Arabidopsis thaliana: one gene and its partners. The protein of the gene in region 1 interacts with the protein of each later gene in a pairwise test. Each region holds a gene or a part of one and is shown in the gene's direction. Other genes may lie near its edges. The genes, in order: CDKB2;1, CKS1 and CYCP2;1.

Region 1 (4,798 bases):
AAATCTGTGATGCTGTTCAAGCAAGAGCCGAACAAGGTCTGATAACTAAAACGAGCTTTTGGTATGTTGGAAGTGATGTCTTTTGCTTGTTCCCTAACTTTATTGATAAACTGTCTATTTGTATCAGACAAAAATCATGGAGTCATCCTAATTCCTGAAGGGCTTGTTGAGAGTATTCCTGAACTCTATGCTCTGTTGAAGGTAACGATTCAATACTGGCAAACATTTCTATTTATCATTTAATGTGCTATTTTTTATTGTTTCTTGAGTTCCAAAACATAGTAAGCATTTACATGTTGTTGTGCGATGCAGGAAATTCATGGATTGCTTAAGGAGGGTGTGCAGGTTGATAATATTTCTACTCAGTTGTCATCTTGGTCATCTGCTTTGTTTGAGTTTTTGCCTCCATTCATTAAGAAACAGGTTCTAATTCTTTGACATGGTACTTTTCTTTGTTTTTTCTCACATGTAAACGAGTATGTGTTCTTATGATAAATTGTCTTCTTTGTTTCTGCAGCTACTTCTCCATCCCGAGTCTGATGATTCTGCTCAGCTATCCCAGGTAAGAAGAAAGAAAATGATGGAGTTACTGTGCTATAAAAAGTTGGAATTCTAATTGCTCATTTACTTTCTTCTTAGATTGAGACGGAGAAACTTCTGGCTTATCTTGTGGAGACTGAAATGAACAAGCGCTTGGTATGTTGCACATCTTTTTCACTTGTCACAATCCATTTTTTTCAAATTTTTTTGAATAACCTTGCCTGAATATTCAAGTTGTCCCTAAAACTAAGTTTTGAAAATGACAGAAAGAAGGAACCTACAAAGGGAAGAAATTCAACGCTATCTGTCACTTTTTTGGTTACCAAGCTCGTGGATCTCTTCCATCAAAATTCGATTGTGACTACGCCTATGTATGTGATCGCCAAACTAAAATGCTATTGCAACTTCAATATTATGGACATTCACACCATTGATTATAACTTTGATGCAGGTTCTTGGACATGTATGTTACCACATCCTCGCAGCTGGTTTGAATGGTTACATGGCGACAGTGACTAACCTGAAGAGTCCTGTAAACAAATGGAAATGCGGGGCTGCGCCTATCTCAGTTGAGTTTTGTCTCTTATTTATAAGGCTAAAGTTGTTTAGTATATGTGTTGATTTCTGACTTCAAGTTTCAGTTTTACTGACCCCAATCTCTTTCTCTGTTTAACCTTAGGCAATGATGACGGTTAAGCGTTGGTCCCAAAATTCTGGTTCTACTACGATTGGTAGACCTGTAATTCATCCAGCTTCAGTTGACTTGAAAGGAAAAGCATACGAGTAAGCTTTTGTTCCTCACTCATTAGACAAAGATTAGAATGAACATGAAATCAAGTGATATAATTTGTCAAATGATTTTGCAGTCTATTGAGACAAAACGCGCAGAAATTCTTGATGGAAGATATGTACCGAAACCCAGGACCAGTCCAGTATGATGGTCCAGGTGCAGATGCAAAGGCGGTAAGTCTGTGTGTAGAAGACCAGGATTACATGGGGAAAATCAAGAAGCTGCAGGAGTATCTTGATCAGGTGAGGACGATTGTGAAACCGGGTTGCTCTCAAGATGTTTTGAAAGCGGCATTGAGTGTTATGGCCTCGGTGACTGATGTTCTCACTACGATCTCATCTTCTTCCACCAGCGGTCAGCAATTTGCTTAAAGATTTTTTTATTGTTTTGGTTTTCCCTTTAACCATAAACTTCATTAGCTCTCTCTCTCTCTCTCTCTTTCCATTTTGAAGTCGTCTTCTGATTTACGCAAACTTTATTGTTCAAAGTTGAGTTTAGGAAAAGGATATTCAAAGTTAAAGGATTTGAGTAATGCTTTTTTAATGAAGAAGTCTGTGTTTGGGTTCACTAATCTTCTTGTTGCCTTCTCGATCATAATTTGTATATGGTGCGACCAAATCAAAGTACCTACGGATATATATGACAAGTGGACACAAATGAATAAATGTAAAAATTAAAATTAAATACTATAGTACGTGGCAAATTAAAAAAAGGCGTTTATGAAAAGACCGCTCCTCCACGCTCCAGTTTGAATTTCGAAAAATCAGTCCGTTGTGAAAGCCCAAGAATAAGGATTCTATAATTTCAGGTCTCATTTAATTATATAACCTATCTACACTTTGATCTCCGACAATTCACTTTCCCAATAAGAACCAACTGAGAGAGAGAGAGCGCCGGAGAAGAAGAATTTTAGAGAGCGATGGACGAGGGAGTTATAGCAGTTTCCGCCATGGATGCTTTCGAGAAGCTTGAGAAAGTTGGTGAAGGGACATACGGGAAAGTTTACAGAGCCAGAGAGAAAGCTACCGGGAAAATCGTCGCTCTAAAGAAGACGCGTCTCCATGAGGACGAAGAAGGCGTTCCTTCCACCACTCTCCGCGAGATCTCCATTTTGCGAATGCTCGCTCGTGATCCTCACGTCGTCAGGTTAGGGTTTTACCTCTGATTCGATAAAATTGCCCCCATATTCTCGATCTTGTAGTCGCGTTAGGGTTTATATAGTCGATTTCTCACTATCTCGCTTGTTTTCCAGATTAGATAGATCTCAATTTCAAATCGTAGTAATCAGTTCGAAGAGTCTACTAATTGTTAGATGATTTGGCTCTGAGAAACTGTTGATAGATGTTTCCCTAGAGTTTGATCTGGATCGCTGTATCAGTTAGTTTTCCAGTGATTGCAAAATCAATTATATACGGAAACTTTATTTGTCATCTTTTTCAGGTTAATGGATGTTAAGCAAGGACTAAGCAAAGAAGGCAAAACTGTACTGTACCTGGTTTTTGAATACATGGACACTGATGTCAAGAAATTCATCAGAAGTTTCCGTAGCACTGGCAAGAACATTCCAACCCAAACTATCAAGGTTTTTAACCACCTTATTACTGTCATCTCTCTTTCTCGCTTCATTTGTGCTCACTTGAACCAAACATAACATTCTGAAAAGTTATTTGCAGAGCTTGATGTATCAACTATGCAAAGGTATGGCATTCTGCCATGGTCACGGGATATTGCACAGGTGAATTGTTCTCTGGCTTTCCCTTGTTTTCAACTTCTAAGTGAGAATGATTTTAGATAATAACTTGGAAGAGAGATTTCTTCTTCTTACTATTTCTCCTTGTTTCAAAACAGAGATCTCAAGCCTCACAATCTCTTGATGGATCCCAAGACAATGAGGCTCAAAATAGCAGATCTTGGTTTAGCCAGAGCCTTCACTCTGCCAATGAAGAAGTATACCCATGAGGTAATCAATGTTTGACACTGCTTCTTGCACTTATCCCACTTTGTATGTATTGTAGAACTTATGGTTTTGAATCGGTTGTTCATTGCAACAGATATTAACTCTTTGGTATAGAGCTCCAGAGGTTCTTCTTGGTGCCACCCATTACTCTACAGCTGTGGATATGTGGTCTGTTGGCTGCATATTTGGTATGTGTTCTTTTCAGACTCGTTGATTTCACTAGTCACTGCGATATCATCTTAAGTTACTAAACAACAACAATTAACATTGTTCCTTCACCATTTACAGCTGAACTTGTGACCAACCAAGCAATCTTTCAGGGAGACTCTGAGCTCCAACAGCTCCTCCATATTTTCAAGTAAGTCTTTGTTGATTCTTCACCTTTTACATGACAAACATAAGAAAACCTTTTTTCATTTTGCCGCTCTTTCCGGTGTACAACTCAGGTTGTTTGGGACACCCAATGAAGAAATGTGGCCAGGAGTGAGCACACTCAAGAACTGGCATGAATACCCACAGTGGAAACCATCGACTCTATCCTCTGCTGTTCCAAACCTCGACGAGGCTGGAGTTGATCTTCTATCTGTAAGTCTAAAGTTTATTAACTAGCTACCAAAACAAACTCAACAGACGAACTAATTGCGTTTTTATCTTCCTGGAACAGAAAATGCTGCAGTACGAGCCAGCGAAACGAATCTCAGCAAAGATGGCTATGGAGCATCCTTACTTTGATGATCTGCCAGAAAAGTCCTCTCTCTAAGGATTTAAAATCTTCAGTTAGTATCTTTCCAAGTTTTATGGTTTTTCTAGTTTTGCTTCTTTCAAGCATATCTCTAGTGTGCTGCTTCCCCCTCTATGAATCATCCTTTCTTTAGCATAATATATCACTTCTGATTGTTGTTTCTTTCTATTCGAATATTTGGATTAACGGCTTTAATGTTCTTAAGACTATTCGCAATTATAATGATCCAGTCATCTGGAAGTCTAAGAATAAGTTCTTGAATAAATGGATACATATAACAAGATCGAGTGTGGGGATTTATGTCACAAGCCACATGAAGAATGTTGGCCAAACAGTGAGTGAAACTGCAGCCAAAGAGTAAGTCCAAAGCATAATCACAGAGCATTCACTCTCCCCAGCGCCGAATAATTGGGTCTTTGTACCTGAAAAGTAAGGGAAACTAGTGATGTATCTTATCTGAAAGAAGTAACTGTATTTTAAGGAGTTGGTTTCAAGCCATGCACCTAGATTCATGGCTGGTGGGACAGCATACTGAAGAAGAAGAACGAATTGGTACAAGGGTTCTGAGGTTACTAAATCCAACTTGTATGCTCCTCTCACGAGTAAAACACCGCTTACAGGTAGCAAAATGTAACGAGCTACCAAGACGCCGATAATGCAGGAGTTTTTCATTTCTGAACTCCTCACTTCCGACCTCCTCATTCCTTTAAGTAAGTTTCCTCCAAGAATCAGGGTCATAGCAGGAATGGCCCCATCTCTTTAGCCAAAA
Region 2 (3,487 bases), on another chromosome or scaffold:
ATCTCTGAACCGGGAATTATACCGGTTTGATTAACGTCGAACCGTAATCAAAATTTTAGGGCTCCACTAAGCGGGAAGGAGCGCCTCTAAGAAATTTGAAACTCAAAAAAATCAAAACACCCGTTGAGAAAATGCCCCTATAAATCCCCATAATTACTTCCTTACCACAATGCCTTTTTAATTCCCTTTCGCTTTCCCTCTTCTCCCCTAAAATTCATTTCGTTTCCGATCGCACTTCTTCTCAAGGTCTGCTTTACTTCCCGATTCTTAGATTAGGGTTCGATTTCTGATTTGTTTAGGTTCTCGTCGTTGTTTAGGGTTTAGATTACTGACAGATTGCTCCATTTCTTTTGTTTAGTAAATTTAATAGACGTTTGTTGGGTGATTTAAGAAGATGGGTCAGATCCAGTACTCCGACAAATATTTCGATGATACTTTCGAATACAGGTGATTCTCAGTTTGATTCTCCTCCCATTTTAATGGAGTTCTCTCTCACGTTTTAGTTTCAGTCTAATCGCGTGGTCTTTTATTTTTCTCTCAGGCACGTTGTACTTCCTCCGGAAGTTGCTAAGCTTTTACCTAAGAATCGTATTCTTTCGGAAGTAAGTTAAAAATTAGGGCTTTCCTCTATTCGCTGTATAACCCTTGAATCATCGTAGGCTAAGAGATTTACATGTTTAAGAAATTAAGTTAGGAAATTGAAGTTTGGACTTTTGAGAGTCGAAGAAATTGAAGTTTCTGCTTAGGAATTTGAAGTTTTGCTTCTCATTAACTTGTTTATTAACTTTAGGTTGTGTAATTGTCAGCAGTGACGAAGATAGTTTAGATATTTTTTTGTGTTATCAGTCAATTCTCAGTTTTCTGATTTTGAAGTTAACAGTTTTCTTGTTTTACAATCTGGTTTTGTAGAGTGAATGGAGAGCCATCGGAGTGCAGCAAAGTCGTGGATGGGTTCATTACGCGATTCATCGTCCTGAGCCACATATCATGCTCTTTAGGAGGCCTCTTAACTACCAGCAGGAGCACCAAGCTCAGATTGCTAAGTAGAAGAATTATGCAAAATTCTCCCTAATCTCTGTTTATGTCTCTCGTAAACGAGGTTTTAAAATACTACTCTGATGTTTTGTTCCTGTAGTTTTTTTTATTGTGTTCATGAATTCTCTTCAGTGGAGAATCATGTGAGTTTGGTAGAACAACTTTTAATGTTATGTTAAGTCTGGTCCTTTGCTAGACTTTGGTTGGATCCACGTTTGAACTTCTTCATGGTTAAGAATGAAGACGTTATTTCTCATGCTTATGTGCTTGTTTCATCATTTCAACCTCTTTTTATTGCTCCTCTTAGAGTCTTAAGTCCATAACTATGAACAACAAACAAGGTATCATTACAATGCCAATCTGAAGGTCTAATCACGATTCTCATGGCGATACTGATTCAAAGAAACTCATATTGTGTCTCAATCACCACATTCACCAAACACCATATATTCCTTACTGTACTACTATTAGTGTATTGAAACCAGGAGATTCAGAGCCATTTTTATAAATTAACTAGATATGTATCTTATACCTAGTGTGAAGCACTGATTGTTGGAATTAAATGAAATTTCGAGAAAATGAACGAGTTCGTAGTTTGATGGTAAATAACAAGGTCTTTGGTCAAAGCAACCAAACAAGTTGTTGAATTTAATTAGAACCAAACCAATCCACCCAATTTCAATTCATTTTGGTAACTAACCGGTTTATAATCATTCATACCCAATCGGCGTCTTCTAAAGAATTTCAAAACTCTAAAAAGTTAATCAAACACCCCTCTATTTCCTCATAATTACATATCTACCCCAAACCACTTTATTCTCCTTTCACTATCTTCCCCAAATTTCAAACGATCAGATTACAGATTCTTCAATTCCTCTTTCCCTTCTCCTCCATTTCCTGATTAAGGCTTCACATCTCTGAGAGAGAAATGGGTCAGATCCAATACTCCGAGAAATACTTCGATGACACTTTCGAATACAGGTAAAGCTCTTCAATCTCGCTTCTTCTTCCTCCAATTTTCACTCTCACTTCTCTAATCGTAATCGATCGATACAGGCACGTCGTTCTTCCTCCTGAAGTCGCTAAACTTCTTCCAAAGAATCGTCTTCTCTCCGAAGTAAGTTTTTTTCCGCATTGTTCTCTGATTTCTGATTCTAAATCCTTCGATTAGATCATCGAAGACTATGAAAATTTGTTGCTCTTAAGAAATTAAGTTTGGGAAAAATCGAAAAAGAGATCGTTTAGGTTTAGGATTTGAATCTTTGCTCTGAATCCAAATTGCAACTGTTACGATTTTGAATCTTTGCTTTGGGATTTTGTAAGGTTTAGTGATAAAGAGATTTTAGACATTTGTGTTGTGCAATCTCTTCAATGTTGTATTGATTGGTGGTGATGGTAAAAATGTTTGGAATTTCGAAGAACGAATGGCGAGCGATAGGAGTGCAGCAAAGCCGCGGATGGGTACATTACGCGGTTCATCGACCTGAGCCGCACATAATGCTATTCAGGAGGCCTCTTAACTATCAGCAGCAGCAGGAGAATCAAGCTCAGAACATGCTTGTTAAGTGAATCATTATCATCACCTGAGTAAGAATGTTATATGCAACAATTCTATGAGTATTGGTTTATGTTTCTTGTAAACATGGTTTGAATCTTTGTGGTTATGGATGAATATGTGAGAGTTGGTTTGTTGAACAACTTCTATGTAATGTTAGTCTTGGTTCTAATGTCATCTTCTGCTTCTTAATTACTTATTTCTCAAGACATTTGGTGGTAGTTTAGTGTCATCCAACTATGTGTTTGATTTTTAGATATATTGGTAAAATGGTCACTGGATAGGCATGAGTAGTTGAGAACAATGTGTCCCATGTTTCCACTCAACCATGAACACAAATGAAAGAGAAAAAGAAAGTTTTTGTTGATAACTTTTACGCTCTAGTTTTGTAGAATAACCATTGTTTTTGTTGATAACGAAAGTATGAAACTTACATTTCAATGAAGAACACAAACGTAGTTGCTATCGAATCAAATCCTCAAACTATAATGGTGTTGAATCTGGATGGAGGTTTGAGTAAAAAGATACATGACTCGAAAATCAAATTAGATGTTATTGTGGTTATCATGGTTTTCCTTTTTGTGTGGCTAAAACTTTACATTGGTAACTTTCTTTTCTATAATTAGGGGTTAGTTTGCTAGATAGCCAAAATCTGGAACATATTTTGGAAAATAGTTTCAATGACAAAATTGTAAACAGTAATTACTGGGGTGTCGTTTTGTTTTAAGATGTATTAAGTGTGTAAAATGTGTGTCATAGTGTTAAATAGCACTCGTCCATAATAAATATTTTTTTTATATACTGTATAAACTATAAAGCAACATTTACTTTGTAAAAATAAAGTGTCATCAGATTAAATAAAGATTTGTTTATAACATATGCAAAGAACTGTAATGG
Region 3 (3,342 bases), on another chromosome or scaffold:
CATGACCATTTCAGATACAAATCATGGAAGGAAAATGATGATTTTGGAATTAAAGATGGTAATATATGGGTGCATCATGCATGATAGGGTTTTGTGTTTCAATTACATTAATTTGTGAGGAAAAATATCGTAAATTGTTACGTTTCAAATAGAAACACAAATGTTTTTGAGAGCTAATACGGAGGAAGAAGCACTCACTTATGACGACCGAGATCGATTAGGCCGATTCACAACCTTTTTCGTAAAATGACGAGAAATTCAAAACCCAATAATGGGAGATTACAGAAAAAAAAACAGATTACAATCTAAGAACAGAATATTTTTTGAATCGAATGAAATGTGAAGAAGAACAAAAAAAGAGTTTTTTTACACTTTTACAGTGGTGTGCGAATCACGTAGAAGAAAGAGAGGTAGGGTTGCTTCTTTTATACCTTGTGAAAACGTGTGTCCACGCGGTTAAAATCCACGTGGCGTAATTATGAGCCTTGACGTGATTTATTATGAAGACATGCATAGGTAATTGTGATTATATCGCTTGTCAAGATAGTACTATCTGATTTTTTTCTTGCTCGATAGATTTTGTGCTCTGTGGCAAACCTTAAAACTCGTTGTTTCGGGTCGATACTAGCTATTACTAGTGTTACTTACTTGTGGTTCCCAATAAATTTATTGATATCGTTTATACGTGTAATACATGTCGTAATTTACTTGAATATTGAGCCACGTACGTTTCTTTTTCGAAAATATGTTCTCAACTAGTTTGAAAGAGTTATCAGTTTTTCTGAATTGTGTGATGTCTTTTGGTATCTCTAACATTTGATATATAGATGTGAGATCATTGAGTCATTTCATTTGAAATAGACTAGGCCACATCAACTTCTATATTATCATCAGTTTAATGTACATGCATGTATAATGGCTATGCAGTTGACTCTTGAATAGAAATAAGTTGTTAGCATTTCTAACTTTTTGATCAGGCTACCCTCAAATTTTGGGATTCCTAACCTAAAAAATGTTGTCAGCTATTTCGTAAAAAATTTGTTTCTAAAAGAAAATTGTAAAATTTGAACTAGTAATTATCTTTTGATATAATCCTCAAAGAACTAACTTTTCTTTTTAAGAAGTTGCACACCAACCTAACTATTTAAAAGGATACAATTTAAGAAAAAAATGCCTTATGCAAAGAAAATGATATATAGATTTGATAGATAAAAGTAAGAAACATGATAACTATTAACGTAAACAAAGATAAATGAACTTCAAAACAGAGATAAGAAAAAATGGCCACATAACATTATATGACCTATGCATAAACTCTCCTTATCAAAACATTAAACATGTATGCAGTGACCGGCAACGCGTATGCCTTTTTTCAAATAATGTATCTAACATTAATTTACATCTATATATAGTATTTACATCAAGAATATATTCCAGCGTATGTAGTAAAATTTGTGTACTGTGAGACTTTTCAAAGGAAATTGTACCGGACGAGAAAATTATGGACCAAGACCCGGAAACTTAATTTTGGGTAATAATGCTAGTAATATGCAGAAAATTAAGTGGAAAATAAAGTTATTTGTTTGATAAATGATAACTAATTTCATTGCTCAAGGTATACAAAAATCATCGGAATCCTATCTTCTCGCGAAGTGACACGTGTCAAAACCATCTCACACTCGTCCAAAGTCAGACGAAACATGATAACATCCCCACGTAACATCTTAAGCTCATCGTATCTCAACCACCCAATCTACAAGCCATATATACCCAAAACGAACTATACAACATGGCCCATTAACGAAAACTGAAGAGAACCCATGTTAACCGCAGCCGGAGACGATGAACTGGACCCGGTCGTGGGACCAGAATCGGCAACGGAAGCAGCCACTCCAAGAGTGCTGACTATAATCTCCCATGTGATGGAGAAGCTCGTGGCACGAAACGAGTGGTTAGCTAAGCAAACTAAGGGATTTGGGAAGAGCTTGGAGGCGTTTCACGGCGTGAGAGCGCCGAGCATAAGTATAGCTAAATACCTTGAGAGGATATATAAGTACACAAAATGTAGCCCGGCATGTTTCGTTGTTGGGTATGTGTACATAGACCGGTTGGCTCATAAGCATCCTGGTTCTTTGGTTGTCTCCTTGAATGTTCATAGACTCCTCGTCACTTGTGTCATGATTGCTGCCAAGATACTAGATGACGTGTAAGTAAGCCTTTCTTGAATTTCTATAATATCTTGAAATTAGACTAATCATGAAACTATAGATCATAGTTGTATCTTAATTGATTAACAAAATGAAAGATACATTTTATATCTAACCAATATAAAATGAGGACAAACTTTGTACCTATATGTATGTTAAGTGCCCCTTTTAAGTTATTGATTTCAAGGTTTCAACATGTATTGGATGAGATAAGAGAGGTTTTCGTTTTTTCTAACAAATTTCATATTCACAGGCACTACAACAACGAGTTCTATGCTCGGGTTGGAGGCGTAAGCAATGCAGACTTGAACAAAATGGAGTTGGAGCTTCTCTTTCTTCTTGACTTTAGAGTTACTGTGAGTTTTAGAGTTTTCGAGAGCTATTGCTTTCACCTCGAAAAAGAGATGCAACTAAACGACGCCGTTTCTTCCCTCAAAGATATTCAACCAATGCAAGAAAGTCTCTCTCCAGCATCTACTTTATCATCTTTATATGTTTGATATATGTATATGAATTTTTTTAATATAACTTTTAACTGAACGCGTTTGGTTGACAGAAAAAGTTTACGCACTAACTATCGAAATTTTATTTATATTTTGAAGAAATTATCTCAAATTTTTGCTAGAGAAAAATAATTGAAATCTCAAACTATGTATACTAGAGATTTTACAATGTAAATCTGTTAAGTTAAATAGTTTGTAGATTTCAACTAAATGATATAAGCTATTTTTTCCTACATTTTGCACATGTTGTTTTGTTCTTCAGGTTCATCTCTCTATTTTCTTCTTTTCACTGTAAAATGATACTCCATGATGACTTAAGTATCCAACAACAACAAACCAAAATCCAATTCTAGTTTCCTAGTTTTCTTACTCCTCCAATCGTCTTCGGTTTATCGTGTAAAATTTCCTTTACATAAGAGCAAAACGCACCGTTTCGTACAGATCAGATCCATCGCACCCTATGATAAAAAACAATGGTCTCACACGCTCATCCACCACCACGTGTTTAACAAGACACGTGTCCAAACAAATTGACTTTGCCTAGTTGTGTTCTAATGGAAAAGTAAAATTCCTCTTTTCTCTCTTAGTTCAGGGAGGAGGCTCGAGAACAGTGCCCCATATCTGAAAGCTGA

What was found.
Region 2: the proteins of CDKB2;1 (region 1) and CKS1 interact in binary tests that used the Arabidopsis thaliana proteins (3 or more experiments, as listed by UniProt).
Region 3: the proteins of CDKB2;1 (region 1) and CYCP2;1 interact in a two-hybrid assay, tested with the Arabidopsis thaliana proteins (one study listed by BioGRID).

Annotation. Positions count from the first base shown.
Region 1 is NC_003070.9:28,719,803-28,724,600, reverse strand, and holds CDKB2;1 (cyclin-dependent kinase B2;1), read left to right. Parts: upstream 1-2,050; 5' UTR 2,051-2,249; coding exon 2,250-2,476; intron 2,477-2,770; coding exon 2,771-2,912; intron 2,913-3,003; coding exon 3,004-3,065; intron 3,066-3,178; coding exon 3,179-3,290; intron 3,291-3,381; coding exon 3,382-3,475; intron 3,476-3,575; coding exon 3,576-3,645; intron 3,646-3,733; coding exon 3,734-3,872; intron 3,873-3,951; coding exon 3,952-4,047; 3' UTR 4,048-4,273; downstream 4,274-4,798. Other genes in the region: AT1G76550 (Phosphofructokinase family protein), read left to right, coding at 1-36, 128-201, 313-423, 518-562, 640-696, 807-911, 992-1,108, 1,220-1,323 and 1 more; AT1G76530 (Auxin efflux carrier family protein), read right to left, coding at 4,327-4,451, 4,533-4,786.
Region 2 is NC_003071.7:11,910,020-11,913,506, reverse strand, and holds CKS1 (cyclin-dependent kinase-subunit 1), read left to right. Parts: upstream 1-1,704; 5' UTR 1,705-1,963; coding exon 1,964-2,016; intron 2,017-2,091; coding exon 2,092-2,152; intron 2,153-2,454; coding exon 2,455-2,604; 3' UTR 2,605-2,938; downstream 2,939-3,487. Other genes in the region: CKS2 (CDK-subunit 2), read left to right, coding at 395-447, 542-602, 910-1,047. UniProt on the Arabidopsis thaliana protein: Associates with cyclin-dependent kinases (CDKs) and plays an essential role in the regulation of the cell cycle that affects plant growth rate. May inhibit both the G1/S and G2/M phases.
Region 3 is NC_003074.8:7,703,292-7,706,633, reverse strand, and holds CYCP2;1 (cyclin p2;1), read left to right. Parts: upstream 1-1,675; 5' UTR 1,676-1,820; coding exon 1,821-2,206; intron 2,207-2,460; coding exon 2,461-2,707; 3' UTR 2,708-2,835; downstream 2,836-3,342.